Linked DNA regions of Lepisosteus oculatus. The protein of the gene in region 1 purifies or fractionates together with the protein of each later gene. This does not show direct contact. Links are inferred from orthologs where the notes say so. Each region holds a gene or a part of one and is shown on either strand. Other genes may lie near its edges. The genes, in order: ctdspl2b and pdik1l.

Evidence for each region.
Region 2: the proteins of ctdspl2b (region 1) and pdik1l purify together in Homo sapiens (affinity purification with mass spectrometry; 4 studies listed by BioGRID and IntAct, counting the BioPlex papers as one, with this or other methods). This does not show direct contact. The link is inferred for Lepisosteus oculatus from reciprocal best matches to the Homo sapiens genes CTDSPL2 and PDIK1L.

The regions. Positions count from the first base shown.
Region 1 is NC_090700.1:47,151,492-47,167,492, forward strand, and holds the start of ctdspl2b (CTD small phosphatase-like protein 2-B), read left to right. Parts: upstream 1-8,802; 5' UTR 8,803-9,076; exon of another isoform or gene 9,077-9,080; intron 9,081-9,152; exon of another isoform or gene 9,153-9,260; intron 9,261-16,001. Other genes in the region: protein GOLM2, read left to right, coding at 1,363-1,439. UniProt on the Homo sapiens protein: Probable phosphatase.
Region 2 is NC_090706.1:5,714,115-5,730,140, forward strand, and holds the start of pdik1l (serine/threonine-protein kinase pdik1l), read left to right. Parts: upstream 1-8,388; 5' UTR 8,389-8,805; intron 8,806-11,389; 5' UTR 11,390-11,407; coding exon 11,408-11,692; intron 11,693-13,509; coding exon 13,510-14,250; 3' UTR 14,251-16,026.

The DNA.
Region 1 (16,001 bases):
TTTTCGAGACCCAAGTCTTGCATAAGCAGTTGCCGGACTGCAATGGCTAGCAAATATTTCTGTGTGAAGGTCCGTCAAGCTTGAATTTGGAGCTCTGTTCGCGGCAGGGCTGGAAGCCACAGGGCTTCGCCCTTGTCCCGCGGGACGAGCCGGCAGCGCAGGTGGGCCGAGGTGTGGGCGAGTCTCTCGTTCTCAGATAACTCAAGGTGTCGTGACGCCCCCCCCCAGCGCCTGCATGCTTCATCCAGCTGTGCGCATGCCCGAGCGGCTGTCCTGGACTGCGCCACCCTGTGCTGTCCCCCCCCTTCCCCTGTGCACCCCCACGAGGCTCCAGACACAGGCGTGGGCAACTCCGGGCTTCGACAGTGCCAGGCTCCTGCGGGGTCTCTGGGCTTCTCACTGGGGCCCGGAGAAAGCAAAACTGGTTTGACTTCTTATCCACTTCAGTGGTTCAGTGAAGGTGAGATCTGGGACGGGATGAAAACCAGAAGGAAACGTGGCACTGCAGGGCCAGAGTAGCCTACCCGTCTTCACGGTGATTGTTTGTCAGTATTACATGCATGTTGCGTGTGTCTTATGACATAGTCACGTCACCTGCAGTAGAGTTCATCCTGTTTCGGTATTTCGATATTCAGCTGGGTTGCTTTTTTTTGTGGGAGTGCTGCCATTTCATGAGAACCGGCTTTCTGACGTGGAGCTCCCCCTCTGCGTGCTGTTGCTCTGCGTTATCCATTTCCTGCTCTATGTTCTGCCGTTTCTGTGCTGCAAAGGTTCTAAAAGCACCGCGTGAAGGTGAGCTGATGTATGTATGTATGTCGCTGAGGAAATAAGGGTCTAGCGTTGACGCCTTGTGCTGACCACGGTTCAGAAAATAATGAGCTCAACATCATCTTTCCAGCAGCTCAGCTGGAAAAGTATCTGGGTTTCCAGATTTCTCTATTTTTTTGCTTAGGCTTTATATTACAAAAGACAGTAAGTTGGGAGAGAGAAAATGCAACAGCAAGGTGTCCTACATATGGTCTTGTGGCGTGGACAATGCAACAGAAGGGAGAGATCCTATTAACCATTGAGTTATTAGGGGATTCTAAAACATGGTCCTATCAGTGCCCTTTCTGTGATGCTGTAGACTACTGTGACCTTATGACCTGCAACCTCCAAGTACTGTTTTCTGAAGGAGCTTCCTGATTGGTTGCTGGCTTCCATTGCAGTGGTAGGCAACATACCAACTTCCTGCCCAGATGAATCTGGGGGAAGTCCAACACTGGCACCTCAAGGCATCGCTGCCCGTTTCCCAATTTGCCATCCATGTGCAGTTTTTCCTTTTTCTTAAAGAGGGGTTTTCTTTCTTCTCTTGTTTTACAGATGATGAAGATCGAGAACTTCAAGGAGACCGTGCTATAGATTATGGAAAACGACACCAAGCCAATGATATCCTATAAGCCTGTGACTGGAATCATCTTTTCAGGAAGATTTAAGACTCTGGAGTAAAAGAGACAGGCAAAAAAAAGAAGTTGATAATTTCTTGGCCTTCTATTTCACTGGTGCTTTAGGTCTGATTTCTGGTGGGCTGTCTCTTAAATTGAGGAGGTGGCAGCTATATAGTCCTTTTTTTCCTTGAGGTGTCCTGTAGGGCTGTAGAATTGGATTGATGTGGCGCAATGGTACAGTATAGGGTACATTTCAGAACATTTTTCTGTATATTCTTGTGTATATTTTGTACTTTTTAGGGTTAATGACTTCTCTGTCCTCCGCTGTTATACTAAAGTATACATACTTGTAAGTGTAAATTATTTCTAATTTCAGATTTTCTTAATATAATTAGAATGTATTGCATTGGAAAATGAAGGGTCTGTGTAAAAAAAAAATGCAGCTGTACATTTGTAATGTTTATTTTTTACAGGAAATGAAGGTTTTTTTTCTGTTTAATAAATTCCCAGCTGTTCCGCTTTCTGCTGCTGAGTGCTATAGGAAAGTAGTTGGGGCTGGAGGGACGGTCAGTGGTTTCTGTAATCGAGAGGAAGTGGGACAGATCCTTGACACTGGCCTGGGGTTTCCTGGTTTTTTTGGTGGGTCAGTTCTTGGCAAGAAGAATGTCACTGTTGTAATGGTTTTTTTTTTTAAGTCTTGTTTTTTCTCTTTCAAAGCCAGAGTTTTAATTTTGGAATCTGAAGTCATCTCTTGCTGGTAAAAGTAAAAGGATGGAAAGGCGCCGGGTGTTTTTTTTACCCAGAGCCTGATGGATTGCCTTGGCTGCGGTAGTGACCTGTGACCTGCACACACTGGGCAGGAGGGAAGGCCCTGCTCACAGATTGTGTGGCCGTCGTTTGTTGCTTTTTTTTTGTTGTTGTTGTTTTGTTGTGACCAACCATGGGCTGAAATCCCATGCACGGATACTGTAGCATGATTTGAAATCGGTTTGATATTCGGATAGAGAAGTCCTCATGAGACATTGCCTCTTTGCACGTCTGTGCGAGACTGTACTTGATTTAACACCAGTGCAGAACTCTGGGATAGATTCCGTCACTTTTATATACTGAAGCTGCTTAGCCACATATAAGTGAGTGTAGTTCAGGAATGGTTTCAATTTTAAGGTTTTTAGCCATTTGAATCCTTAACTTTGTGGACTATATTTGTCCCTTCAGTTATTCCGATCATGGGTTTAAGTACTAAAATGGGAATGTTACGGAGGTGTAGTTGACATTTTGTATGCGAGTTCTGCATATCGAATGTTGTCTGGTGTTTTTTTTTAATGAAATCACACCGGGAGCTGGGTGTTTAACAGATTCTGAAATTTTTAACATCTTGGAAAATGATGTGAATGCACAATAAACTAAAACCCAACAGCCTCTTTCTTTGTTTTCCCTTCATGCTCTCTGAAAAGGGGTGGGGGTTGGGGGCAGATAAATGTTGAAAGAATGTGTAGGCTCCTCGGGCTGCTGCAGTTCTTTCCTCCTAAAGATGGTCTCTCCCAGGTAGAGTGAGCGAAGCATTTCTGTAGACCAGTGTTCCCAGCCCGGGGGGACTCCTGTATCTGCTGGTTTATGTTCCCGTGCAGCTGGTAATCACTGGTCCTAATTGGAGCCTTTAATTGATCTGCATTCTTAGACTCTCAATGACCTGTTTCTGCACCCTTTGGCTTCAGAAATGGTGCATTCTTTCCAGCTGCTTTTGCGTACATGCCACCCTGCACTCTTTCCTTGACTCAAGTGTCTTCAATTTTTGCTGTCCAGGACTCTCGATTGGCAATTTAGTTTGTGATGAACAGCCAGGTGCAAATGACAGTGTGTCACATGCTCCCACTATGAGCTTGTTCTTGGCTGCAGAAGACCCACTGGTTACATTTTAGAGTACAGGCCCGAGAGAGGGATGTTCTGAAACTCAGAAATTGTTCTTTTTAGCCACAAGCTCAAAGCCAATTCAAGCACATACCTCCAGCAGCAAACTGAAATCAAATAGCCAGCAATTAAGATGGCTGGGGCAAACAGACCGCCCAGAAGAATACCAGGACCAGGGCTGGCTGCCACCACTGCAGACCAGAGAATGATTGTTTAAAAACAGAACGGTTGTCTACAATTGTATGCAAAGATGATTATATTAAAAGTAGGTTTGGGTGTTGTACCCAGTTACGGCAGTAGATTGCTCAAATGTTGATCTTGGTGGTCTATTGGACATCTCCTGGGGTGGGATGATATCTTTCATGCATCATGACCTCATCAGATACTTACAGTATTCAAAGGATCCTTTTGGCTTTGCCCATGAAGACCTTATCTGGAGATTCACTGCATATTAAAGTCCAGCCGTCCTGTTACAATGGTTACTCAACTGAATTATGGTCTACAGCCGTCTTTGTGACCAATCTTTACGATGATGCTGCAATGTTGGAGAGAGGACAAGCACGACTTTTTGATCTTTCCTTGAATGTTTTCATGCAGGCTCTAGTGCCGTCTATAGGAAAAGGTGGGGCGAGGAAAGCTCAGCTCCTTAATGAGACAACATTAACCCTCTAACCTGATGGAAAGGAAAATTGGCGGTAGATAAAAATAAAACCTATACAGCCTTCATATATACATCTTCACACTTCATGGTACAAATGCTGTATGCTTAAAATACTCGGATTTAGTAGTCATGTTTCACCATGCTAAATGATTAAAATTGGACCTCATATAGTATTTATTGCAGTTGATGTTTTCTTGATATGTTTATGTAACCAATGCACCCCTGTGTATAAGGGGGATCTCAGCCGCCTGGGCTGAGGAAGGTCTCCTTTAGCTTAGCTGGCAAGTTCCCTGTTGCGTAACGCTGGAGACTCGGGTTCGCGCCCAGGCATCGAGGGGACGAACTGGCAGGGCAGGAGTGGCAAGGGTGGAGACCCCAAGAACCGTTGCAGTTAGCTGCGCGGAGCTGAGGCATTGCTGGCAGTGCTCTGCTCCGTCTCCCCAGCAGAAGGACTTGGGTGCCTGCACAGCAGTGCAGCACAGCCACATCTGTGTGAAAAGACTCTGGACCCAAGCACACAGCACTTGGGGGCTCGGTCCGTTATTCCGATATCCAGGTTCCATGGATGTAACAGTGGGCGTGGGAGTTCAATCCAATTATTTTTATTTCCTGAAACATTTAAAAATTCTAGAAGGCGCTTCCCAAGGGAAGAGAGAGGTGTGTAGAGTATGTAGCTCAGAGACGTGCACAATAGGAGGAGGCGGCAGCCCCTGACACACAATGCTTATAGTGGTGGATTGAAGTTTGTTTTTTTGCAAATAGGTCCACAACGTTCTCCAGCTGAGTGACAGCCCCCGGTCCACGATAATTAAGGGTAATACGAGACGTTTGTGGATCGGCGGTTCCCTGTGCTCTTGTGTCCTCATCCTCTCTAAAATCCACAGGGTGTGGGTTGGGGAGCAGCGAGTGGGGCTCTGGACTCATGGGTGGAAGGTGGTGGGTTCAAATCCCAGGTGGGAAAAGGAACAGGTAAAGGTTTATTCTATGCTGAAAAGGGAAGAAAGGAAACACAACGTTTCAGCTGTGGAGCCTTCTTCGGGTTTCCAGGTGGGAAAATGCTGTTGTGCCCAATTCACCCTTATTACTCCAGTAAAATATTCAGTTGTATACATGGGAACATACTGTATGTGAGTCGCTTTGGGGGAAAAAAGCATCACCCATATTAGTAGTTAGTAATTGTCATAGGTGTAGATACTATCGTGTGTCCGATCTGCAGGATACTTCGTAATGGATTATGTAACCTAAGCGATGTTAAGGTACTAGGACTTCTGCTACAGGTGCAATCTCCCAGAACCGCCAGTGTCCCCATAAACCCGGACAAGACGTTAGTAACAGATAAGTGCTCTTTTTATTTCTCTGCCATCTATAGCATATGAACTGCCTTCGTCATAAGATAAGACAAGAAACAAAACACTAAATAACGCCTCGACTGGAGACCGAAGTCTCCATTTTTTGCGCCGTTTGTTATTTTAAATCCCGTTAATATTGTGACCAAGCCGGTTATGGATGTCTTTGGTTTTAAATTGATCCCTTCAGTTCGTAGCAGGGGAGTCAGAAAGATAACGAAGGATTACCCGGCGACAGTGTACAGAAAGATATATTTTTCTTTTTGTTAAGGAATGTGTACACAAAAGAGTAAGACATTCCACCAAATATCTTTAAGCTCTCTAATACACGACTTGGGTTCCGAAGCACTCATCCCTGATACCACCAGCTGTATCTTTCATAATACATCGCCATGACAACCATTTGCATGTTTTCAAAATCCCGGCGAATTTCCACCCCAGTGCCTGTTTTTGCCATTGTGAACACATGCGCGCGCTTCAGCTAGCGGCTTCGCCAGAAAGCCGTCGAGCAGCGCCGTCACAGTCCCAGGTGGAAACTTCTCATCTGCTTTTCTTATTGAAACACACGAATGTTTTTTTTTTTTAAATGCATGCATATCACCGCAAGAGCGCAGTTCTGTTTCCTTTCAAAATACGGAGCCGCAGCCGCTGTTTTTAAAATGGAAGGGCAGCAAACACGTTTAGGAACAAAAAATAATCATTCTGATCGGCTATATTTTGTGGTGTCTCAGAGAGATCTGGCTTTCGTTTGGGGCTGTAAGGTACTGCCCTCGCGTTCCTACTTATCCATTCTCATCCTATTAGTTTCTGGAATTAACAGCTTTCTGATACCGAGCTGCCTCGTCCAGGTAATCGCAGATTTTCGGAACGCGAAAGTAAGGTGTCAGCGAGAATGTGACGGCGTGTTCTTTTTGGGAACTACAAATGATCATACAAACAACTCCGAGACACTAACGGGCCTGAGTGAGATGTCTAGGCCAAAGGGGACCCTGCCCACTGGAAAAAAAATCCACATTGTATTTAAAAAGGGCAAACGCGTTCTCTCTACTTTTGTGGACCAACGAGGAACGTCCTAGCTATTGAACCACGCACGTTATATTTGGGGGACATACAAAGTTGACAGTCATCCACCCACCAGTGCACCGAAATGCCGTACAGATTGAAAATGGCCCCCGAAACAAATTTTGTCATTATTTAAATTAGTCAAATTTAAGATAAGGTAGTTTAGAACGCAGCGTCCTTCACACTGTGGGGAAGTCTCACTACTGTCTGTAGGTCCGGAATGACTATCTTGCATAGTGTCCCCACGTACACAGTCATAGCCCTCACCCCACGCACAAACGGAATAAAACGCAAGCACGAACACGAATGCACTGTGAGTCATCCGTATCACTGCACTAAATACAGGGCTGTGTGTCGCCTGGAACAAGCGGTCTTTTCTAGCCCCGGTCTGTGCCCAGGGAAAACGGCACATCTTCGTTATTGAACGTTAATAGCAAGACCTCCGGGCGCGTTTTACTGAGCTACGAGTGGACGCGTCTTTGTTCAGTCTGCACTGGGGTGGCTGATCGGAAACTCTTCGACCGCTGCCTTCCTATCACAGCATCAGTGAACGCGGCTTTTTGAAGGCAGCTGCATGTGTGTGTGCTGAGGAGGGGCCAGCGTGTGGCACTGCATTTTTACATTTGCATATTTACTTTAGGCTTTGAAATATCTGAGGCCCAGTTGTGAGAATTCCTGGGGCGCCACATACTGCTTTAATGCAAATTTAATTTGACAGCTGTTTATCCGGCTAGGTAATACTCAAGGTGCGTCTCCCCCGTGCGGCCGCACAGTGATAGGCGCGGCAGTAATAACTCGTCACAGTCATAAGCCGTTGCTTTTTAAAGGTGCGAGTGGGGGACAAACCCCACGCTCCGGGTGGCGGTGCTCCGCCTTACATCCCTCGCGTGAGACAGCCCGGTCGATTCTGGCAGGACCCGCGCGAGCCTGCTCGTGCTGTTCTATTGTCTTTTACCTGCCGCGCACTTCGATGCTAATGACGATTAAAAGCCCGGCGAGTCCGTCTGCCTCTCCGGAGGAAAGGCATCCCTCCGCGCGGAGCTCCCTCGGCGTGCCGGAGACGGCCAGCTTCATGTGTGTCATCTTAACATACAAGCATGTTCTCTCAAAGGTGACCAGTGCCATTTCACACACGAGACAGACGGAATTAGCATGAGATCGCGGAGGTACACATTCATCCCTTACAAATCATTTGAATTTTAAACCAATTCACTACACGGGAAAGTGATTATACTGGTGCTCTACTGGAGGAAATGTCGGATTTTTCGTTTTTAGCAAGAAACTCGGTGTCGCGTTTAACCCGACAATTGGATATTAACGGATATTAACCAGCTGACCTCATGCTGGTCCAGGTCAGAAATGCAGATATTCCGAGCGAGCTGTAGTAACGCATTTTTACTCTAGTGATTACTGCACGATTGTTCCCATCGGAGTGCCAAATTCCTATGCCGCCGAGCCACGGCAGCTTTTCTTGTTCACGAATAACTTGTCAAAAAACGTGGGGCTTCTCATGGGGGAATAAACATAATTTTCTTAGCCGTGGAGCCCACGTTGTCTAGTGAGGAATCTTCGGAGGGGATTTGACCAGCGTAATTTAGCATCTGAAGCTCGCGTTCGCGGCTTTGCGAAGGTGTCATTTTGTAACCTTCGTTAACTTTACACGTGTGATACAGAAAAGCTAGCGCTCCTTTACCGGCTTGATGAATGTAATATAGCGCCGGCAGGTGTATCCGAACGTGTTCTCAACAAGCTGATGCGTTATTCACATCTCAGCGTTTCGATGTCGAATTCAACCAGAACTCAAAGGCATGAGCACAGATCGCTATGCGCGGGGTCTCTGTGGGATTTCGGGAGGATGTTCGGGACACGGCAGTGCTTCCTTGAAGGGTCTGAGCAATGCGTCCCTGCCTGTGTCCCCATACACCTACGAGTCGTGTACGTGCCTCCGGGCTGTGGGATTCTTTCAGTTCCCAGTTCAATTCTCCTCCAGGAATGGGGGGTGATCTCCCAGCGAATATTAAATCTTACACGTCAATCGGCACTTTTTAATCGTGTCCGAAGACTCACGTTCCTGCCTGTAATTCTGTAGCCTGTAATTCTAATTTGATGTTTAAAATTGTATATACCCGTCATTTGTTGTTGGTTTTGTTTTTTGCTTGATTGTACAGTGTCTTTTCGGGTTTTTTTTTAAAACGAGCAGAAAGTCCAGTTGAAAGGGATTAAATACCCCGGGATCTATACAAATAAAAAGATGATAAAATTATGACAACAAAATGCTGATTTAATGAGCGATATGAAGCAGCAGAAGGGCACGGCGCTGTGGAGACGGCGGCAGCACACGCGTGTCGCCACCTGTGACGACGGGCTCGCTGGGTGGCGCTGCGGAGTTTGTTTGTGTTCAAAGTGGCGGGGAGGGGAGGAGCGCAGGTCGGCCTGTGCTTGCGCCTGCGCAGCGGGGACACGGCTCATCCGGGTCTCTGCCATTGAGAGTGTCGGTGCTGCGGGTCGGTAAGGAGGCGGGAAATGGCGACTGGAGGAGCAGCGCAGGAGCGGAGAGATTGTCCCTAAACACAGCGAGTCCGAGACGGCCACAGGCAGCAGGCAGCTCTCGCTGCGCCGAGTAGCAGCCAGGCACAGACAGCCACGTCGGGAACGACACACTCCGACACCTGGCAAGTGAGTGGGGCGCTATTCCCGCGGCTTTCCGGGGGGTTTGTGTGTCTGTAAATAAATATTGACTCTTCTGTCGTGCTGCACACCGAGGCGCTGTGTTTTTAAATCTCGGCTTCTTCTGCCTACCGGGGGATTTCAAACATGACATTTTCCGGGCAGCACAGATCAACTAGGCAGACCGAGGTATTTTTTTCCCCTTTGTTTTGCTTTCTTATAAATTGCATCAGCACCGCTACCTGGTTGTTTCCTTCCACTTTAGTTCATCTACCTTAAGTGGTGCCTTTTTATGTATTTTTTTTTGCCTTGCTGCGAACAAGTTGCTTCTACCTGGGGGCTAAATTACTCATTAATGTGTAGTTGAAGACTTTGTTTGGGGGAGTCGGTCTTGAAAGAGAAACAGGTAGTGGCGCTACGGCAGCGCTGGAGCCAAAGTCATGCCTCAATTTAAACGCTTGCTCGGGTGAGTGGGAAAACGGAGCGCTTTTTTTGTGTTAGGCCTTGGCCTCGTCTCCCATCTCCCGCCCCGGGCTTGATTATGAAGCCCTACCGATTTCCCCTTCCCCTTTCCCGCCCACTTCTCTGGCAGGGAGGGGGGGTTCTCGCGTGTGCCTTTTACCAACACAATAAACCCCCCGAAAAAAAAAAACCGTTTACTCTCCGAAAAAACGCCCATGTGTTTGCGATGTAGTGCTCTCGCCAGTGCACGGCTGAAGTTTGAAGCTCTGCAGCCGGGAGAAAGTGCGGCTTTGTTTGTTGTCACTGGAGTTGCCTGGGCTCGGATTCACAGGTTTCATTCCTCGAGCTGCGGCTCGGGGGGCGTTGCTCGCGCGCGGCGCGGTGCTCCTTCTCGCTCCGCTCGGCGCCGTCTCAGCTCGCGCTCGTGTTTACCAGCGGGGCTGCGTTTGCGACAGGAGAGCACGTTAACTTTATTTTTTCTTTAAAAAAAATGCATCGCGAGGGAAAGTTTAATACTGTTTTGTAGCTTTACCAAGCTCCTGCACATTGTGGGAGAATACGATTTACTTGACCGTCGGTGCACTTCGGCAGTTTTTCTAACGAGTCTGAGTATTTCCAGTCGCCGTGGACAGAGGAAATAAGCGTCTTGAGTGCTTTTTTTTAACGGCGTCCTTTTACAATTTCTCTAAACCCTGATACACGTTTCTAATTTTTTTTCCTGTCATGTGCGGTAGGCATTTTAAAGTTACCAGTATTTTTAAATCCCCGTGTTACAAATCCTAAAAACAGTATTTTAAGTTTTATTTGGAAAGGTTTTCGCAAGTGTTGGAAATCGCGCAGCGCGTTGAGTGTCATGTCATCTAGCGATATCCTTTCTTTCCGAATTATTTTGTACTACTAACACTTCACACTTGCAGAGAGATTTATAGCCTGTCATTTTCCTCCCAGGAGTCGCCAGCAGCAGCTGTAGGACATGTTCGTAGTTTTTCTATCTTAAGGAGAGAGCCGATTGCCTTTGAAGTGTCCGTACCTGATCGGAACATGTCACAACCGGTGAATGAACTAGAACTGCCGTTACCTAAGTCGTACAACAGTGTACGTTTGCATGGTGCCTTTCAAGGTGAAGGTTTTGTAGCCTGGCTTGTCTCGCTCAGCAATGAAGTGGAATGTGGACTTCTGTAAGGTAAAGCGCGGCTTTCAAGCCTGCTGCATTCGGTAATGATCCCCCGCCTGCGTCACAGTGACATTCCTCTGCTACAGTCGTGCAGTAGGGATACATCAAGTCTCTTCTGAGACTGGGGGACGGTGGGGATGGAGGGTTTGACTGAGCCTTTTTGACGCGTCAAGAGTTCAGTGTCCTTCCATGTGCTCTGAGATTGGTCAAAGTTGCCGGCACAATTCTGTGATTTTTGCCTGGGCATGTTGGAGCCAGTCGTTTTGTAGCTCACACGCGCTCTGTCACACGAGAGTTTTACAGCTGGGTAGTTTAATCTTCGTCCCCGTTTAAAAAAAAGTGGGATTCTTCCCGTGGTTTGCTTTGAAAATTTCTCATTTTTTCATAATGCCTGAAAATGTATGCAGGCATTATAAAGGAACAAATTAATAATAGGAATATAAATACCACTGCAGCGGGACGAACAAACATTTTGTTGTGCTTGCTTAGAAAACAGCTTGCTGCAGTTTCGCATAACAAGATTTCTCCTGTTGGTGAACCCACTGACATTAATAGCTGCTGTGGCATATACACTGTTGATAGAGATGTGACTAATTCTCTGAACAGACTCAATAGATAGCCAGCAATTCTGAGTGAAGGTCCCCCTGTGTTTTAGTGGTGTTGACCTTTCTTCAGCATAATGCCGGTTCCCAGGGATGTGTTTAAGTGGTGCCTGAAAAGCAGATCTGAAAGTTAAATTGCTGGAGATGCAAATTGCTGAACTACAGGTGATTGAGCAACAATGTTTCCATATAAAAAAGCAGGTGTAAAGTATTTTAGAAATAATCTCAAATCGCATTAGCTTAGTACACAAAAGCACATTCTCGGAGTCCTTCATTAACACTAACAATTTAACTGATTCGATTGTTACACTAACTGTACCCATATTTTGGGAGTTTCTTGGGGGGACCTCAAACCTTTACTGAAGCACAGTGGGCATTTGAATGACCAAGTTGTTCTGATGAATTGGTTTCATTAGATTATCCCTTGTCTTAAAAAAAACAAAACCATTCTCAGATTATCCAGCTCTTTTCTTTTTGGCGATTCAGCAACTGTGCCATGTGTAGGATAGGGTGTCCTGTGTGGGTAAGCATGGAGATGCCATTGGTGGTGTTGCCGTGTGCTGGTGTGATGCCAGTGGCGGTGTTGCCGTGTGCTGGTGTGATGCCAGTGTGTGGTGTTGCCGTGTGCTGGTGTGATGCCAGTGGTGGTGTTGCCGTGTGCTGGTGTGATGCCAGTGGTGGTGTTGCCGTGTGCTGGTGTGATGCCAGTGGTGGTGTTGCCGTGTGCTGGTGTGATGCCAGTGGTGGTGTTGCCGTGTGCTGGTGTGATGCCAGTGTGTGGTGTTGCCGTGTGCTGGTGTGATGCCAGTGTGTGGTGTTGCCGTGTGCTGGTGTGATGCCAGTGTGTGGTGTTGCCGTGTGCTGGTGTGATGCCAGTGTGTGGTGTTGCCGTGTGCTGGTGTGATGCCAGTGTGCGGGCTGTGCCAGCTCTGCCTGGGTCTGCCCTGCTGTGGTGGCCTGGTTAGCTGGCAGCTTGCTCTGCAGGCTGTAAGGTAGGAACATGTCCCGTCATCTTTGTACCAGAGCTTAGCTGCACATGAACATTACTGAGCTTTCAACTTTACTGCACATGGGAATAGGACAGAGGTTGTTTTTTTTACTGGCTTGAAGGACATGGTTTTGTTTTATTCGGGGAGTAAAGGCAGCTGTTTCAGCTGAATGCCTTATTCATTTTTCCTTACTCTTCTGAACCTGCCTCCTAGATGGTTAAATGATTTGTAATATATGCAACTGGAGTGAAATGTATTTGTGTGAATTCTGAAGCATTTTAGAGTGATTTTGTGACAGTGCAACTCATAATGCAACTACAACTACAAATACATGCAAATAGCTTTAGTCTTAAGAGGAAATTTTTCTTCACATATCTTGAATCTCCTTTAACTGTTAGTATCATTGTTGTGCACTAACATAAATGTATATAGTATGAAGGGGAAGTAGGGGGAAAGTGGCATCCTCACTCGTTTTTAGTAACATTTCTCCTTAATTAGCCTCAGGGGAGAAATGCAGAAGACGTGGAAGTAGTGCTATTCCTTGGATGGAATGATATTGGGGGGTGGATGTCTTCTGTGCATTTATAACATCTGTTTTTCATTTAAAAAACATCAAGTGTACAGTTACTAGTGAAAGATGAACTGACTGTCTGGTTCAATTTATGTAGAATACTTAAACTTTTCATGCCTTTTTTTTTCTTTTAATGAAAACGAAAGTGGCAAAGATGTTGCTCGTGCTTTTGGCAGCGCTGCGCTGAAAACTGCAGATGAGTCATGCTTTGTGTTGGTAAAAATAGGCAGGGAGACTCGAGAAGCAACAAAGCTGTTTCTGCTGCAGCCAGATCTGGAGCATGCTTACTGCATGAGCTGAAAGATGACAGATGCTTGCGTTGTTTCTGGCTGCATTTTATTCCAGTGTTTCAGATCGGGATGCAGCATCAGCCGAGTCGTGGGCAGGGCTATTCCCTTGTCCTGGCCAGGCCTGTCAGTGCTCCTGACTCGTTGATTCCCCCATCACCCCTGGCTTCTCCATTGTTCATACTTCAGCTGGCAGCACTGTGCCTTGGGCTGTCATTCCTGAGTGTGACAAAGCCATAAGGATATCGCAGTCTCCAGCCAACATGTAATCAGGTCTGAGATGTATACCGCTCCATTGTACGTCTAACAGGCGTCTGTGATTTCTGTTTGAGACTGTAGTAGAAAGCAGGTATCTACAGTGGTAGCTTGATGTGCACTCTCTGTTACATATTATTTTTCTGTCATGAATTAAGCAATTTAAAACCAAACTTTCTTAGTCTCTAGTCACTGTAGGAGTTGTTGCTTGATGGCCAGGCGGCAGAGAAGAATTCTGTTCGGTAATCAATTAATAAGACCTACGGCTGAGTTAGTGAGGTAATGGAGGGGATAATGATTCTGTATCGGGAGCTTTGTAATGTATTGGCTGGACATGGGTTTGACTGGCAATTTAACACGTGTGTAGGCCTCGTCTACACTGGAGGTGTTTCATCTGGTTTTGCTTTAGGATTGTTGTAGATAAAACAATGCATGCTGACTTTGCTATGCTCCTTGTAATCTGGTGTTTTGCTGGGCTGGATTCAATAAAGATGTTCCTTGCGCCAAGAAACTGAGAATAGGCAGTGTATCAGAACATCAAGATGCTTTCAAATATTTATTCTGTGATTTGGAAGCACAAAACCTTTGATTTCAATTTACAAGCCTGGTTCTTTACTTGAAGTGGACCAGATTATAGGTATAGCTAGTATAAAACTATGTAGCAAAAAGTCAAGTTAATGTATGCAACTAATAATGGTAGATTGAAACAAATTTTCAATGCGGTGAGCACATTTCATCAGTTATGTATTCCCACAGTGTATTATATGAATTTTAGAGAAAGCAGCAGTTTTCTTTTTATTTTACTTGGACGAGATCTACTAGAAAATCCATTTCAGAGTCTTAGGATGCCTTTCATATGTGAAGTCTGTTATAAAATGTCTGTTTTTTAACCTGGTATATACTTGCTTTATGAAAAAATGAGGTGTAGTGTAAGTGATTCTCAAGGATCTCTTCTAGGTACAGATGTATGTTTTGGAATTCATAACAGTTTTTCTTCCCAAAAAGTCCTTCTTTTCTAAACATTTTGAAAACCTCTCACTGCACCGGTATATAGGTTCAGATAGTTTATCTGTTTGAGACGGCTGTTTTTCGGAAGAGAAGGACATCTGCACTACCTTTTTATAACATTTTCTTGTTAAAATTGCAGCAGAATGTGCACTGCAGTTCAGTAGGCAGCACAAATGAATCGCCCTGTCCATTAACAAACAGAGGCAGAAGCTTTAGAAACGTTTCTACTTCGCAATCATACCCGTAAAGCCAGCAGAGAAAGAACAGTGCTTTTGCTTCATGTAGACTTAATGTGAGACATTGCTGTTTAAAGGAGATGATTTCAATTAGTACTGGACACATTAATTAGGAGTATGCCTGTGTAGTGCATCCTTCCCTGTCAATAGGTGATATACAGTAGTTGTGAAATTGGCAGGCTGACAATAGTTTGACAAGTCTGGACGGATTTCTTGGCAGTGGAGGAAAACCCTGAGAAATGGGAATTGTATTCTTTAGGAATGCTTATTTTCAGACACTAAGTCTGACTGCAAGGCTTTATGAAAAACAGTGGGATATGTCATTGTTTTCTTTTTGCTAATCTGGGCATGCATATGATTCCAACTGGTTCTAGTTAAAATGTAATATTTTAGATGGTGTTTTTTTAGGTCTTGCTATGTTTTTATGGTTGGACTGAGTGACTGTAATGCACAACATTAATGGCTGCATCATGAGCGCCGATGAAGGATGTTTGAAGGAGCAGCAACCTGCCTGTGAGTGAGCATGGGATGCAGACAGAAAGGCATTCAGTTTGCTGCATATCAGCAGTGCCAGTGATCTTTTCCCCTCATCCCAGTATTGTTGGGTTGAGTTGCATGTCATATGTAAAAAAAAAAGTAATGTTTATCACTGCAGTTTGTTTGATATAAATACATCAGCCATTTAATAGTAAAGTTTCAGAACAGGCATTAAGCTTAGCACACTTTCAGCAAGGTCTGTAGACTAGCTCTGCAGCATTCTTGCTATACTGGGCAGCAGCCTGTTAGAGAGGGCTGTCAGGCGGATACTACACACTGATTCACAAGGGTCTGTTTCATGAACGCAGCAATATTTCTCATGTTTACCGTCATTCTGTCATTTTGCAGCTGGTAGATATTATTTGCCTGTTGGATGCAGTAGCTAATTTTCTGATTTCTTGGCTTTTCAGTCATTATGCTCTACTTAGCAGCTTTGCATGCAGCTCTGCAGCGAAAGCTCATCCACTGTTGCAGAATTTGAGCAGGTCTCCTCGCGACCCGAGTGGAGCTGGTCTCGTCCGGGTTTTGTCCTGGCTGTTTTCCACTGCACTTGCCAGGGCCCACAGATGTGTGGCTGATGTTTATGAACGCGGAGTTTGACTAGCCGAGCTGCATTATTTAAATCTAGTTCAAACACAGAACAGGACCACAGGTTTTTTGCCTGAGGCAATTCTGGAGGTTCCTTTTTTTTGCTTAATACATTTGAAAGAGAACGTATATGATAGATCGAGAAATCTCAGCTTTCACAGTCCACAATGACATATTGTGGTTGCAGAGGAAATTATATCTTGACTGCAACCAGATGTTGA
Region 2 (16,026 bases), on another chromosome or scaffold:
AGGAATCTGACTGGATGAAGCCCTGTCGCATTTCAATTCTGTAATTGAAAGATTCATACAGAAACCGTCATTATCAACCTGGAATGGGTGGGAATGTGGCAATCAGCTTTCCTTCTGGAAAAACGTGGAGGAATGAGGCCAGAATGCCAGAAGTGGACAGAACAGTTAATGCCATTGTCCTAGCTGTTCTGTGCCATTAGTCATTCTGTGTATACCTCCTAAGAGCTGACATGCTGTGCTCTCCTTCACGAGAAGAGGAAATGAGAGAAGTGAGAATAGTTTAGGATGAAAAAAGGGGTGGTGGCAAAGTTCATTATGGAAAGGAGCTGGGTACCAAGTTTTCACTTTTGTATATTGCCAAACAGCCTCCAGGGGATTGCTGCATGTTTTACTGTCTGTGTTTTCCTAGGTTTGTTTTCAAAGGGCCTTATCCCAGATTGAGTTTATAATAAAGAGCTTGTCTTGGATGGCTGGCTCCCAGTGACTAGGCACCCATCAAGGATAGTTTAGACTTTTTTAAATCAAGGAGAAGCCAAAGACTTCCCATCTGTTTAGTAAGTATTTCTGAACCATTCACAACTTTTAAGTCATTATTTATTTGCTGCCATGCCTCAACAACTTCTCCTTATGTTTGACCTGTTGTCTTGTCCCACAGTTTGCCTTTTCCACCACATGATGCAATATGCTTGCTCGTGATTCAGAGCGGCATCCATTTCAATCTGTTTTTTTACCTTTGATCTACAATACCGTTCTCTACTTGAGAGCATCAAAAAGTCCTTTTATCTATGCTAAAACCAATGCAATGTTACTCTGCACTAATCATGTGTAAGATGCATTTATCTTTTAATATAAAGTATTTGTTCTGTATTTTTGTATATTTTAAGATTGCCGAAGATCCTTATGACTGCAATGATGTTTTGTTTCTCAGGAATCGTGAAACGTAAACTCAGGGATATCTAAAATTGGCTTCTGTGGTCTTGGGAGTTTCGGTAGGAATAGAAAGGGTGGATAAGTGATTGTCATACAGCTCCTAAACCTACCACACAACAGGCCAGTAGCTTCCGACTGGCTTTCTGCTAGCTTTCAGTGGTTCAGTGGAAAATGGTAGACACGTTGAAACTGCCAAACAGCACCAGTAAGATGGAGTCCATATCTGAATCTCTGAAAAGCATAGCCATTCCTGAAGCAAATTAAGTTTGCAGACATAAACCAAGTTAACAGCCCTCTTAATTGGATTTGTGCGACAAACACATTTTGATCAAATGCACAGGTTTTGACAAACATTTGATTTTAAATAAGAGAGCAGTTTTAGCTCTTACATGGTGAAACATTAACACCAGACAATTTCTGGATGTTTTATTCTGACACTGCGTGTAGAATATCACGTCTTACTTTGCTCTAATAACTAGGGGACTGGGGACTGCAATTCTGGAGTGTAACGTTTAACAAAAAAGCATGGCCTCCCATGTTTTTTTATGTAGCTTAAGGATGAACTTTGACCTAACCCATGCCATAAACATACTCTGTCTTGAGCACAGCTGTTCTGATTTGTGTATATTTATATTTTGAATGTAGTGTACTGGAAACAGGAATATATTTAAAAATTCCAGTTATTGAAAAGACTAAAAAGATCCATTAATAACTTAACATTTGCTTGGAAAAGCAGGCAAATCTCCACCAGATAAGAATCGCTGCTGTGTTCTGGGAGCTAGGAGCTGTTGTCAGTAGTAAGATGTGTTTTCTGACATCCACCCTTTCCAATAGTCTCCTACACACAATGGAATCTCATAATTGTTCGGTTTGTATTTTGTGTTTTTGTAAAAAGTTAGGGACAAAAGAACCTGCTTGTATGCCCAAAGATGTGAAAAATCTTTTTTTCAAAATCATATCTTGGTTGTGCATAGAAAAGTGTTGTTATTGTTTTTTATTTTTTAAGAAGAGCAAGTGCAACAGTCAGCAGTCCTCAGTACAGCACACTTGAAAGCAGTGGCTAAAGGACTTGATTATTACAACAGGCTAAATAAGGTTGTAGGTGTATTTTTGTGATTTTGGACATATTTAAAAAGAGCTGTGTTTATTAGTTGAAGCACGTATTGATTTGTCTAAGAGTTAAGATCTGTCATCTATTTGTACAGATGGTCCTTTTGTAGATATTCCTTGACAGTAGTATTAAGCTGTTTACAGGCACAAATTTGCTTAACCAGCCATGACAGTGCTTATTTCTTTGTTACAAATCAAATATTGCTGAATAGAAACAACACAATAAGTGCTAAATCTGACTTTAACTCATTATTTTAATTGGTGAAACTGATGCTCAAATCAGCTGATATAATCTTTAACTATGTATGTTTCTTTTCCTTATTTCCAAAATGCATCTTGGATACACAAGGTGTCTGGGGTTATGGTCAAAATGGTAATTTATTTTTATCTGAATGTTGTGGAGTTCCAGTTTCTTGAAAGATTACCAGGATACTTCCTTGGAAGAATTTAAGATGATCCTAGTTAAAACCAGATTTAAAATTCTTATTTTAAAATTAAACATATAAAAAATACTGAACTCCCAAATTTGAAATCATTTCAGCTTTTGATGGGAAATACTCACTCTGACCACCAGGGAGCAGTATTTGTCTGTTTGCATAGTGTTCTTCAGTTTATCACCTTTTATAAGTTATAGCACTGAGACATTTGAAATGAATGCTTAATAACCTTTTCTTTTTTTAATATAAAATATATAATCTTTCGATATGCCTCCATATAATCATGATGCATTAAGTCCAGTGGATCTGTTGCACTCTGCTCTTGTATATGATTATTGTACAGATACTACTGTTCTATTGTATGATGTTTTTCCTCTTTTGTAATTCAGTCCTTAGGGGGATTAGAGTAGGTGCAGTTTTCCCACAGCGGGACGGAAGGGCAGCATAATTATGACTTGATGACATATTATTGAGAGTTCAGTGGAGACAGAACTAGAAAATATGGCATAGGCTCATCCTGCAAGGTATGAAGATTTTCCTAGCTTGGAAGGCCTTCTCAAATATAAATATGACATTTACAGTAAGATTGTAGTAAGTCTTGTATCAGACAAACTGTGCAGCGTCTTACCAGTGATTTAGGATGATTTAGGAATGTACTAAACACCATGCTTCCCGATTCCTCCCGTTGTGTCCTAGTGTTGTGTTGTGGTGGTGGGTTTGTTTTTTTATTATAAATGAAAACAAGATGAAAAACCTTGTAAGCAATCTATACAGGTCTACCTCAGGATATTGTAGTGTGAATAGGGACAAAGGCAATTCGCCTCCATTGTAGTTACCCTTTGGGTTTTGCTGCACTGGGGCAACCAGAACATTGTCCTTTTTTCCCGTGTAGAAAGTTTTGTTTTGTTTTTGTTTTTTGTGATGTCTGACATTTCCAGAATTGTGCAGCGCGGGTGTCGATGTGTGAATCTTCTTTCCTCCCTCGCGCTGGTGTCCACACACGCTGTGCCAGCTGTGCCAGCGCCGGTGCATGCAGTTCTCTGCCCAGATGGGTGGCCGTTGGTGTCGAGTTAGTCCTGCGTGTGTGTTCTGAGATGACAGAAGGCAGCCAGGTGTGTTCACTGCTGCTTGTGTGGCCAAATGCTGCCAGAGGCCTTCATCCTTTAGGTCTTGCTTGGTCAAGGGTACCCCCCGGGTCCCAGAATGGTTATGGTATTGGTTAGCATAGCTTTGTTCTCCTTCCTCATACTGATCATGAGTTATATTGACAGCAAGGAGGGGTGGTAGTGTTATCACTGCTAGCTTGCATCTCCATGTTCGCAGGCCTGACTCCAGAACTGGCTACCCTCCTGCATGCTCTCTCTGTCTTTTTGTGCTCCTTTTCTGTGCACTCAGATACCTTCCCAACTCCCAGCTGCTTGGCAGAGTGGGACTGATTGGCTGCTTTAAACTGTCCCTTCCAGTATCTGGTTCTTGCTTCCCTTGAGGAAGGGAAGTGAGCACCCCATCTCATTACTAATGACATTACCTGACAGTGGCTATGGAACAACTCTGTCCTAGGGTTTGGAATCAGAGTAGTTCCTTGTGGGGGAAAAAAAGAAAATCTTTCTGGACCTGAAAGGAGACTCGGGCTTCTTCCTCTCATTAAGGTTTTGTGGCTCCATCTCTTGTCAGATAAGAATGGTTTATACCCCAGGGGATTGTTCTACTGGCCAGGTCCAAATCAGGATTGTAGGGAATAAGGTGTTCAGTGGGTGGTATGTTTTTTCTTATGAGTTAGTCTTTATAAAATATAAAGTTTATCCTGTTCTACATTTTTCTACAGCCTCAGAACACTAATGAAAATACTACCCTCTAGAAACCAAAGGACCCACGACAGCTAGGAAGATCTCATTATTCTTTTTTATCACTGGAAAAATCAGCTTAATGTTGAAAGTAAAGGTTGCGGACCCACAGTCAAAGACTTCATTTAGTGCACATGAAGGGAGTCTTCCTTACATTTCCCTTACTACTCGCCTGCGGCAGTCTGTGCTATAGCCATTTTGGGCTCTGGGACGACAGCTGGGGAAGTGTTCCTCGTGCTGAAGCATCAGTAGGGCTTGTGTGTTTCTCTTCTGGGCAGGGGAAGAGGGCAGATTGCCATTGTTTACAGAAGGAGAGGAGGGAAAAGGCTGAAGCTTGAATACAAAAGGGTTTTTGCTCCAATAGACATATTGGGTGGGGTAAGGACAGTTCTGCTGTATTTCCTGCTGCAATTGATTGTGTGGCTTTTAAGACTCCTGTAAAAGAAGAAGGAAACCAAATCGCCGAATGCAGTGTCTGTGGTGACGTGCAATATGTCTGCCATGGTATTTGAGTTACCGTTGTGCTTTCAGATCCTCTACTTGCAGGGAAATAGATAACAGCCACACTCTCCTTTATACCCTGCTATCTGAACACCATACACACCAAAGTGTCATCTTCATTTTAAACAATACTCAGGGTTGCATATTAAGCACAACTTAGGAACACGTATGACTTGCACAGAGGCCCTTGTGTACGTGTAACTGTGCTTTTATTGTGTGTCTTTTGTTTTGTTTTTAAATTAGACATTTCATTCAGAGGTGTGCGTTCTATTGGTGTAAATGCCTAATATAAATCAAAAGATTGTATATAAAGTGACCGAAGAATGTAGTTATGTTTACTGCTATAAACCAAAGGTTTATGTGTAAAACTCCAGCTTTGGGGTGTTTTTCCTTTTAAACTCCTTTATAATTACCCACGTGTCAACCAAACCAGGTGGGTTTTGGGATTGTTTGGGTTTTTTATTCTTTTTTTTAAGTATTTGAAGCATGCATTACAAACAGAACTGTGATCACAGTGTTTCGTAGTGTTTAAAAACATCTACAACTTGCTTTCTAGTTAATAAAAGTATGTCCATATAAGAACCACATGTGTCTTTTGCCTTCATTCTAAAAGATCCAGGATATGTACTTTCTGTTTGGTGCTTCTTACTCTGGGTTTTTTTTTTATCTGCATGGGAAATTCAGAAATGGCCCTAGACTATCCTCAGAAAACCCCGCAATCTTTTCACCCAGGAAAGAAGAGAGTAAGCTCTTGTTTAATTCTCTGTAAACGTTAAAGAGTCCACCCCCTCCCCAGTAGAAGAGACTGAAAGAAGATTCACAGAGAATATTGCAGCATTCTGTTTAAACTGGCTTTCAGAAAGCTTAATTTAAAAAGTATTAAGAAAATAAATGCAACACAGTAAAAAATAAAGCTGTATACAGCATGGGTGCAAAGCAGTAATGTGAGCATCTTGGTGGTGTGTCTCCCATGTCTACAGAACATAAGTGCGCTTATCAAGTTACGGTCTGGGAATTGTTCGAATTTCAGGGATGCACTATAAAGGTGGAAGAAGGAAGCAGAGGAGAGCGGAGAGATCAACAGAGCTGTCTAAACAGACAGCTGGGGCAGGAGGGACACTGAGACTGCAGGAGGAGCGGGAGAGGAGGGCGGTGGTGGAGAGAGGGGGAGAGAGAGGACGACAAAAGGGGGAAATGAGACGAAAGGGAGGCCAGACTCAATCAAGAGGTGATTGAAGATGATGGCGGTGCCTCCAGAAGAAGATGGCTGTGAGACAGTAACAGCGGGAGGAAGGTCTGAGCATCATCAGTACAAAAAGTATACAAAACTTTTTGGGAAGAGATAAGAGGACCATGGCTTAAAGAAGTTAACATTGTTGTCTGTGACGCCAACCAGAAGCATAATTTTAACAAGCCTTGCCAAACCAGCTGGCTAGCTAAAGTATCAAGGATATTAATATGTACCTCTCCTCTCATTATTTAACCCAGAAAGTGGCTTAATACTCATGTAATAGTTCAGTGTGTGTTTCTGTCACAATTCACTTAAAATGTATGTTATTTGTCTATTGCAATGTAAAAAATCTGTATACCGTGCAAAAAAAGAACTTGTTTTTATTCTATGTTGTGTGTTTTTAGAAAAAAATCATACCGATTTTGAATATTGATTTGATGTTTTTGGCTTCAGTTTGATTAATTGATTATTTATGATTGACCGGGCGATACACTCGAGTGAATTTGTAGCATCAGCACTAAATCACTTTGTGACTGAGAGAATTGGTTGGGCACAGGTGATGGGAGAGGGCTTAATGTGTTGAATGTCAGGCCTGGTGAAAATCAAGAAAGAAAAACACAGAAAGAAACCAATATGTCCAACTTACCACTTAATGACACTTTCACATTCTTATTGTATAGGAGGCTGGACTATGTTAGTCCAGTGTTGCTCACCGACAGCCATTTCTAACCTGGCAAGATGTTACAGTCATATTCAGTCTGGCAATTACTGGTCACCTGACATGGTGACCAAAGAGCCACACCACTCCCCCAAGACTGATGTGAAGGTTGAAATATTGTAGCCTGGCCAGCAGTGTCTCTGGAGAACTCCACTTGGAGTGTCTCAAAGAAGCCTGACTGCACAGTACTGAGTGCTGGACATCCCCTGCTGCCCTTGCTGTGGGTCCTTCCTGACTTGAGAACCTCCCATTAGGGAAGCAGGGACAGCGCACACCCTCACACAACAAAAACTCTCGCAGCCCTCTCCAGGGAGTCTCCAACCAGTCCACGTTATGCACTACACATCGAGACTGACAAGTTAAATATCCATCCGCTTTCTTTATAGAGCAGTCGGTTCAGAATGAAAACTCTAGATGTTCCAAAAGCTTTATGCGCAGTTTCATCGGGGTAAGAGAGATGCAACGTCGGTTCTCTTGCGAAATGAGAATGTGACAGTTATGACGTGGATGCCCAGCTCACCAGACTGGAGAAGTGGGAACCACCGGTTTAAATATTGTAATATTGTAAATCCAGGCTCTTTGACCCTTGACCCCTGTACTTCAACCCTTCCTGAAAGGAGAACAGGTTGGGATTGGATCTCTGGTGGGGTGTTTCTTCATTACTTTTTTGTTATTTTAAACATATGGAACGCTGATAGATTTTATGTATAGATTTAAATTGACGATTGAAGATTAGTCCCACTAAACATTTTGTGAACTTCCATGAACCCCTTATTTAAGACACCAGATCTGAAATATATGTGTCACAGTATGACCATTCCAGTGTACATGAGCTGTTTCTAACATTATCAGGTAAGCCATTTTAGATTGCCTGGGAGGTTTCATATGTTTGTTTCTGTTAAGATTTCCCATTAAAAACCTAATGTGAACTTTCTGTTTTTGGAGCGGCCCCTTTAAGAGAATATTTCATAGGGTAAAAAATAAGGGGGGCGGTTGCGTCTTTCTCGTTAAACGTTACTTAATAGGTGTAAAGCAAGCAGCGTTTCTGTATTCCACTTCCTTTTTTATGTGAGGTTTATTGTTATCTGTCTATTTAAATGAGGGACGAACCCCATTTTCTTCAGGATACAAACACTTCTTTCTCCTTTGTCACCCTTTTAAAATAAGCCTACCCGTCCCTGAGCCACTTGGAGCGAACCAATCCATACTTCTTTAGAGGGCTTTCAGCGCAATTGTTTTCGCGGAAAGTATATCGTGTCAGATCTTAGACAAGGATAGACCGTGTTATTTAGAAAAAAATATTAATTATTACACTATTTAAATGCGGATCTATGTTTTGGGAAACGATCCTTGAGCAAGGGAGTTCTTGAATGACTCCCCTCCGGATTTATCGGAGTGAGCGATGCCCGGCGCGTGCACCGAATTTGAAAATGGTTTCTTATACGAGCTCTGGCCGTGGCTGCGGGGTGACGTCGCCCCCTGCTATTAAATATACCATCGTAGTGTCTCTTCTTCTCGTGTATCAGCTTGTCATTTGTATAGTTCAATAAAAAAAAATAATATTTGGTCAAATATTTTGTCTTGGAAGGGGAGGGAGAGGGAGGGAGGAGAGATTTGTTTTGGTTGGGTTGGGTGATGGAGGAAAAAGGGGGTGGGGAACCCTAATCTGCTCCCAGATGTTAAATTGTCCTGAAACGTTTCTCTCGTTTTGAGAGGTCACTCGTCAGAAACAATCCTTCCAAAACACTGGGGAGTGGTTTTTTTGTTTGTTTGCTTTTCCGTGTGTTTCAGAGCTACCGTCTCCTTCCCGTTAGGGTGAGCGGCGGCGGGCGGGCGGGCGCGCGCGCCGGGACCGGGAAGCTCCTCCGAAGCAGGTCCGCGAGCTCCTCTCGCTCACTCGCGCAGCTCGCTGGCACGGGAAGCAGCGCGAGAGCGAGCGCGAGCGCGGCGGTCTATAATGGCTGCCAGCAAAATCCACAGCGCGGGGGAGAAGGCAGCAAATGATCCCGTGAAAGAGAAAAACGTTTCGATCAGGTAACATCCTTTGGGGGGGGTTTATTTTTATTTGATCTGATGATTTGCCTTCCTCGTCGTGTGGCAGGTAGATGAAGACGTGCGGGTTATCCCCCACTGGTGTAAGAAAAGCTGTTGTCCAGGGACACGGGGGACAATAAGCAGTGGTTTCGGATCCATTAAGTGTTACACACAGTATTGTGTGCGAAAGAGCTGAGGGGAATTGTAGTAACCTTCGTATTTTTTCAACTTTCTAGATTAACGTAGTGTTCGCACGCAATCCAGGTCCTCGGTCTCCTTATTTGCGGTCTTTGTGAAGAGGGGCTCGCTTCAGTGTGAAGGAACATTGTTAGCAACACGCCTGTCGTCCCATTGTGTTTGTGTATTGCACTATAAAATATTCAGGAGCCACGTTTTGCTGCTCACGGATGGTGGCGGGCCTTATTTTGTCGTGCGGGCGAAACCTTGTTTTCTTTCTCGTTGGATCCCAAATGCGCCGGCATCGCCTGGTGTTGTTGTGTCCATGTTCTGAACAGGGGTGCTAGGAGCAGGACTTGCACGGCTCACAACCACGCTCACGTCCCTGGCTCTGCTCAGGGTGATCGTGCGGCATGCTCTATTCTAGCCTGTGGTTTTAGTTGACAGTCTTGCCACCTGCGCGGCTGAGCCCGATCTGGTTCTGGTTCGGGGTGCACACACCGCAGGCGGGAGCTGCAGTCCACTTCGTGGGCTTACAATTCACTCTTCTGTTAATGAGCGGTCCATTACCGACAATACGACTGAGCTGGGTTTAATTTCAGAAACCTGACGTGATGGCTTATGCCTAGCTTACACACTAATATGACAGGGGCCATTGAGGTCGAACATGAGCTGAAGACAGTCTAGCCTCGCCGTGTAGGATACCCTTACCACTGTTCACGAGTAAAGACATTGTGCAGTCCAGTGTCCAGTCGGTGTTTTAGACGGGTAGCCCCAATGATAGGTAAACAGTGACAACAGTAACTTCACCACGTTGCACTCGAGTTTTCTAGAGTTTGGTGCCTAAAAAGGACGTTGAGGCGCGAAACAAAACCGCAGTAACGAGAGTTTCCAGTATTGACGTTTGTCACAAGCGGTGTGTTTTGAAATACGAGACGTCCCAGTGCATTACCACACGGTTGTGCTTCGTAGCTTTATTAGGAGCGGGATCTTCCCGGAACACTCCTGTGTGCGGTACAGAAAGTGAAAGCACTGGCTCGCCCTTTGCAAACTGGACCTAGTTGAATAGAAAACAATAGAAGGGTTGCTTTCTGACGTTTGAAAGGAAATCGCAGAGTGTTTGCGAATGGCTGCTTTCCCTTGCATTTTTCAGTCGTGTTTTAAAAATTAAGTGCAGGGCACTGAGCTACTCCGTTTCAAAATCGAGCAAGGGCAGAAGCTGCATGCTCTTTAAGAGACGTTTACAACATCTTTGTGAAGGTTTTAAAGCTTTTAGAATAGTTTCCCCCTTTTAAAACAAAGCACGAGAGAAACCTGGACACAAGTCAGCATGTTAGTGTAGGATGGTGATAATGCTCAGCCTTTGGATAGGAGTATTACAGAAAATACCGTTAGTTCAGATTGTGAGTTGTTTTGTCTATATATATATACCTCAGATGCTAAAAGAATTGCATTTTTTAACAGCATTACTGTTGGTTGACTAAATTCATGGGATTAGTCTTTATTCTCACTTGCCACTGAGAGCAGCCTTTGGTTCTATACAAGGTCCCATTTATTTATCTCGAGGCCCAGAACGTTACAGCTGAGACAGGAAGAGACCGAATTGCATGCCAAGAGAGACTGCTCTGCTCAAGTTGCAATCAAGGAAGTAGAGGCTGTGTACATGTGGTTATTTTGTACATCAGGTGCTTTTTGCAACATCACAGCCTGTGGACTGAAATGACAGTCCAGAATGTATCCACGTGCAAAGGTGAAAGCAAATTGTAGAGCTCTGTGTCAGACATAGGTTGAGAAAAGGAATTAACAATCAATAGCATTTTCTCTTAAATCTAATTTTACCATGGTATGAGACAAGCTGTTATAACGTACAAAGCTGGCTTAATTTTTTATTGTTATCCTGTACTAAGTAGCACTATGGGCCTAATATTAATATAATGAGATATGTTTTTCAGCACACTTTTAACAAGAATTGCTGTTAAATATTTTTTCTGGTTGCTTAAGATGAGGAAAAGGATTCTGATTTCACAGTAGGATACACCACAATAATGCTTTTGCATTAATTCTTATATCTGAGCAGTTTTCTGCAAACTGTGTTGTAACGTGGAACTGTCAGACTCTACAACAGAAGCAAAATAGTGGAGGGGAAAATACTGCAAAAATTTGATTAACCCAAGTGAACCCAAGAATAAACCCAAATTATATATTAAAAGGTTTAGTGGTTTAGGGAGTTAAAAGGTGTATTTGGGATGATACCGTAGTTTAAAATATTATTGCTGAAATCATCAAACTTGTTTTATGTACATTCAAATATTTAATGAATTCTCTGCTGCCCCTTTCATACTGCCAACTATGAAAGTACTGTCGATTTGGGAGAGCACTCTCCAGCTCTCTGTCTGCTTTGTTTCAGCGAGTGGGTGGCGAGAGAATGGTGAGCAGCCAGCCCAAGTATGAGCTCATCCAGGAGGTGGGGCGTGGCAGCTATGGTGTGGTGTACGAGGCACTGGTGAGGAAGACCGGAGCTCGTGTGGCCGTCAAGAAGATCCGGTGCCACGCTCCTGAAAACGTGGAGCTGGCCTTGCGGGAGTTCTGGGCTCTGAGCAGCATCCAGAGCCAGCATCCCAACGTCATCCACCTGGAAGAGTGCATCCTGCAGCGAGACAGCCTGGTGCAGAGGATGACGCATGGCTCCAGCTCCTCGCTCTACCTGCAGGTATGCGGCTGTTGGTTTTGTTGAAGATCGCCAGTTTCGTTATTGTCTCACGTTTGCCGGCCCCAGTTTAGTTTAAGCCTGACTGTGTTTCCGCATGGGTGCCGTGGCACTGAAAACAGAATCATGCTTCCCCCACTGGGATGTGGGTGTGTGGAGTTTGTTGGAGACACCTGTGGGTTGCTGTATGACACCCACTGCTGCAATTTCCTGGGTTTATTCGGGGTCATGTCCTGCAAACATGCAAGGTTGCCGTTAACCTTGCATACAGCAAATGTGAAGATGTGACTCTTGATTTTTCCAGTGTAATTGTTGGAGAATACTGATATTTAATATTAATTGACTATTAAGAGATTTCCTGATCACCAAATCATTGAGGACCATAAGCACTGCAATAATTTATTGTTTATATATATATATTATTTAGATAAATTATTTATTTGATTTAATACAGGTATCTATTTAATAGGCAGGTTTTAGAATCTCACTGAAAGTGTTTTTTTCTTCTCCCTGGATGATGGTGTCAACTAAGCCAATTTTAATGATTTTATAAATTTTACCTTACCTTTCAATAGTATTAAATATTATTTATTAAATATATAAGTTGTATATAATCTGAGTCTTTTAATTAAGGGACATGTTTAATTGTATTAACATTTTACTGTGGAATTTCTTTACAGTATGGGTGTTTTTTTTCCTGAGAATTTTGTGACCTGGACTATTTTTTTGTGTAGCACCTATACTGTACATGGTAAATTGCAGGTCGGAGCTTGTAGGTACTCACAAGCTACCGGATGTTTCTAAGTCAGCAGTTAGGATGCATCTCATTCTTAGCTCTGTCCTTGTTCTTTAGTTTTGTCTGCACTTCATTGATAGAGCACATTCCTCTCCAGTCCAGTGTTCACATGATCGGTGCTAACCACAACATTTACAGAGGAATAGTAGCAGATTTTGGAAAGGGTTTTATTTTTTCATTTTTTTCTTGCATTCAAAAGGTCTCTTTCTCCTTGGGCTATTATGTGACGGGTGTTAGTCTGTGTGTCTCTTTGTGCTTTGGCTGGTCACCACTGTGCCCTTAATGTGGAGAAAGGTTGGGCACACTTGTAGGTCCAGCTGTTGGGTCAGGGCTAAATGCGAGTCAGGTGGTGCCCTTTCAGGAGTTACTGCAACGTCCTCCTGTTTAAACTGTTTTATCCTGTGCATGTAGCGTCTCCGAAGTAATAAATACATTGACATCTCGGTGAGAGTGCCTTTTAATTCTTGATTATGAAATCACAGCAGTGCATGAAAGCATTTTAAATAGCTTGTTAGTCACTTCAGTGCTTTGCCATGGCAGGAATTTTGGCAGCCATCCCAGGTTTCTTGCAGAAATGTTTCTGTTGGTGTTTTATGTAACTGCCTCAATTGTTTTCTAATGCAGACAATGCATTTCATTTTGTTATAGGCTTTTCTGTATAAAATGGATGATTTCCCCTCTTTTATCAATCCAAAATATTGAAATCTGCGTGTCCTTCATGTGACCTTTTTCTCTACAAATTGCATAGAATCTACTGTATTTAGCACTTGTAAGAAATAGAAAGCGTTATTTGCACTTCATCCTTTTTTGTGTGAAAGTTGCACAGCGCACTTTCATTTTTTCTGGAGGACTGTCATTGCTTTTTTAGCACAATGACCATGTTTTGTTCTGAGGCTGAGATTCCTTGCTGATATCAATCTCTGCAATCCTACTATAGCACTGCAAGCTATCACCTGCAATAAAATGAAATTCTTATATCTGTACAGGTAGTGTTGACAAATAACATCACTTTTTTATTTTCAAGCTGGTGGAAACATCATTGAAAGGAGAGATTGCCTTTGATCCACGTAGCGCCTACTACCTGTGGTTTGTCATGGACTTCTGCGACGGGGGAGACATGAACGCCTACCTGCTTTCACGGAAGCCCAGCCGTAAGACCAACACCAGCTTCATGCTCCAGCTGGGCAGTGCCCTGGCCTTTCTGCACAAGAACCAGATCATCCACAGGGACCTCAAGCCAGACAACATCCTTATCTCGCAGAGCAGGACTCCCACAGGCGTGCCTGAGCCTACGCTCAAAGTGGCAGACTTTGGCTTGAGCAAGGTGTGCTCATCTTCTGGGCTTAACCCCGAAGAGCCCGCTAATGTCAACAAGTGTTTCCTGTCTACAGCGTGTGGAACGGACTTTTATATGGCCCCGGAGGTGTGGGAGGGTCACTACACAGCCAAAGCAGACATCTTTGCTCTGGGTATCATCATCTGGGCCATGCTGGAGCGCATCACCTTCATTGATACGGAGACCAAGAAAGAACTGTTGGGGAGCTATGTCAAGCAGGGCTCAGAGATTGTGCCTGTTGGGGAAGCTCTCTTAGAAAACCCCAAAATGGAACTCCACATCCCCGTCAAGAAGAAAAGCATGAATGCCAGCATGAAACAACTCATTAAGGAGATGCTGGCCGCCAATCCACAGGAGCGGCCTGACGCCTTTGAGCTGGAGTTGAGATTAGTAAAAATCGCCTGCAAAGAATGTAACTGGGATACGTGATATTAAAGGAAACTTCAAGACGCACACTAAATAACTTTTCTGTGACTCCTGAACGACTTGTAGACAATGGAGCATCAGACCTTTTCAAGAGAACAACACTATTCTAGGGTTGCCGTCTGAAACCAGGGATTCAATTTAATGAAAACGAAGTTAACAAAACTGTAGAAATAACTGCAGTGGTGGTCCATAAAAAATTGAATTTTCAAGGTTAAGTTCATGGTGGTTATTTGAATTTGCTTGGTGCATGTCTTACTAAGAGCCACAAAGAACTTTGCTGCTGCCCTGCCTCTGAGGGCTTTCCCAACAGTGCTTGCTAAGGGTATAGTTTTTAAATGCTGCTAGTTCAAAGGAAAAACCACAGGGAACAAGATTCATTTGGATATTTTGAAATGCTGTTTGGACATTCAACTAGCTTCAGAAGGTTGCATATTGTTGCCTACACAGATGTGAACAGTGTTAAATTATTTTCTTCCTGCCAGACACAGCAGGCAAGCCAATCATTCTTACCAATAGCAACATATACCACAACTGCTAGTTGGCAATTAGAAAATCCTTTTCATAGTTTAAAAGATAATCTAGCAAGTTCCTATAATACACAGTAAATTATATACATGGTCAGGTTTTACAGATTAGAACATCTTAGTATTTGTGTGAAAATGCTATCTACAATTGAGAAATTAAGAGATTGTGATGCAATCAACATTTTCTGCCCAGGAATGCCCTTTCTGTGGGGAAAATTAATTCATTCCATATTTGTGCGCAAAGGGTTGCAAAATGTTGTCCATTGCATAAATATAAGAAGATGATATTCAGGCTGACGTTATTTGAAATAGTTTTTAATAAGGCTCAATGAATACGTGTTGAACAAATTAAAAAATATATACACAAATTGGATTCTCTATTGGGATTTTAAAGATCAGTATGATGCTTTTTTTAGCTCTGTTTTTGCTGAGCTGCTGATCTTGGCTAGGAGCCCTCAGGGAGTGCTGCCCTGGCTGTTGTACTGCCACAGGCTTTGCAGGATGAGTAGTAAGTAGTTAGTGAGTGAGCAGGTGGGCACAATCTGTGGCCTTTCTCCTGGCATCTTAGTAACATCAAGGACAGGTTTCTCACACAGCAGAGGAGAAAATAAATGACCTCCTTATTTAATTCTCGGTTACTCTTTATCTATTCTCTTAACATTCAATGCCCAATCCCATTTTTAAATCCTGATTTCAGTCCCTGCAAATCTATTGCCAGAAATGTGGGATTAGCATGCTGGCCTAAATATTGTACATCTTTCCTTCAGTCTTAATTTTTGTCTGCTCTAGTGCTGGTTCTGTACATGGGTCAGGTATGTGTAGGGTCAGAACAGGTTAATCAACATAATATGCTCATATTAAATGGGGAAAAAAATTGTTGGCCTCTGATAATTATAAAGTATGACAGACTCTAAATGTAGATCAGTCTTCATTCAGAATGGCTAGTGAGTCTGTATGTCTTGGAGTTTTCAAAATGCCTGCAGACATTCTTGTCATTTTGAAGTTATAGTAAACTTAAACATGCTGATGGTCAGCCAGGGAAGTGCCAATAAGGGCTAATACAGGGCAGGATCTGACATGAGGTTACACCAGTTCTTGTCCATTGTGGCTCTTTGCAAATCATCTGAGTCTTCTCAGAACCACTGTGGTGTATATTACACTTAGACATCTGTTTTATCTGCAATAGAAGGTTTTGATGCTATCTGCATATCATTTCTGCAGACTAGTCTGCTGGTTTTGAGCTTGCTAAAAGAAG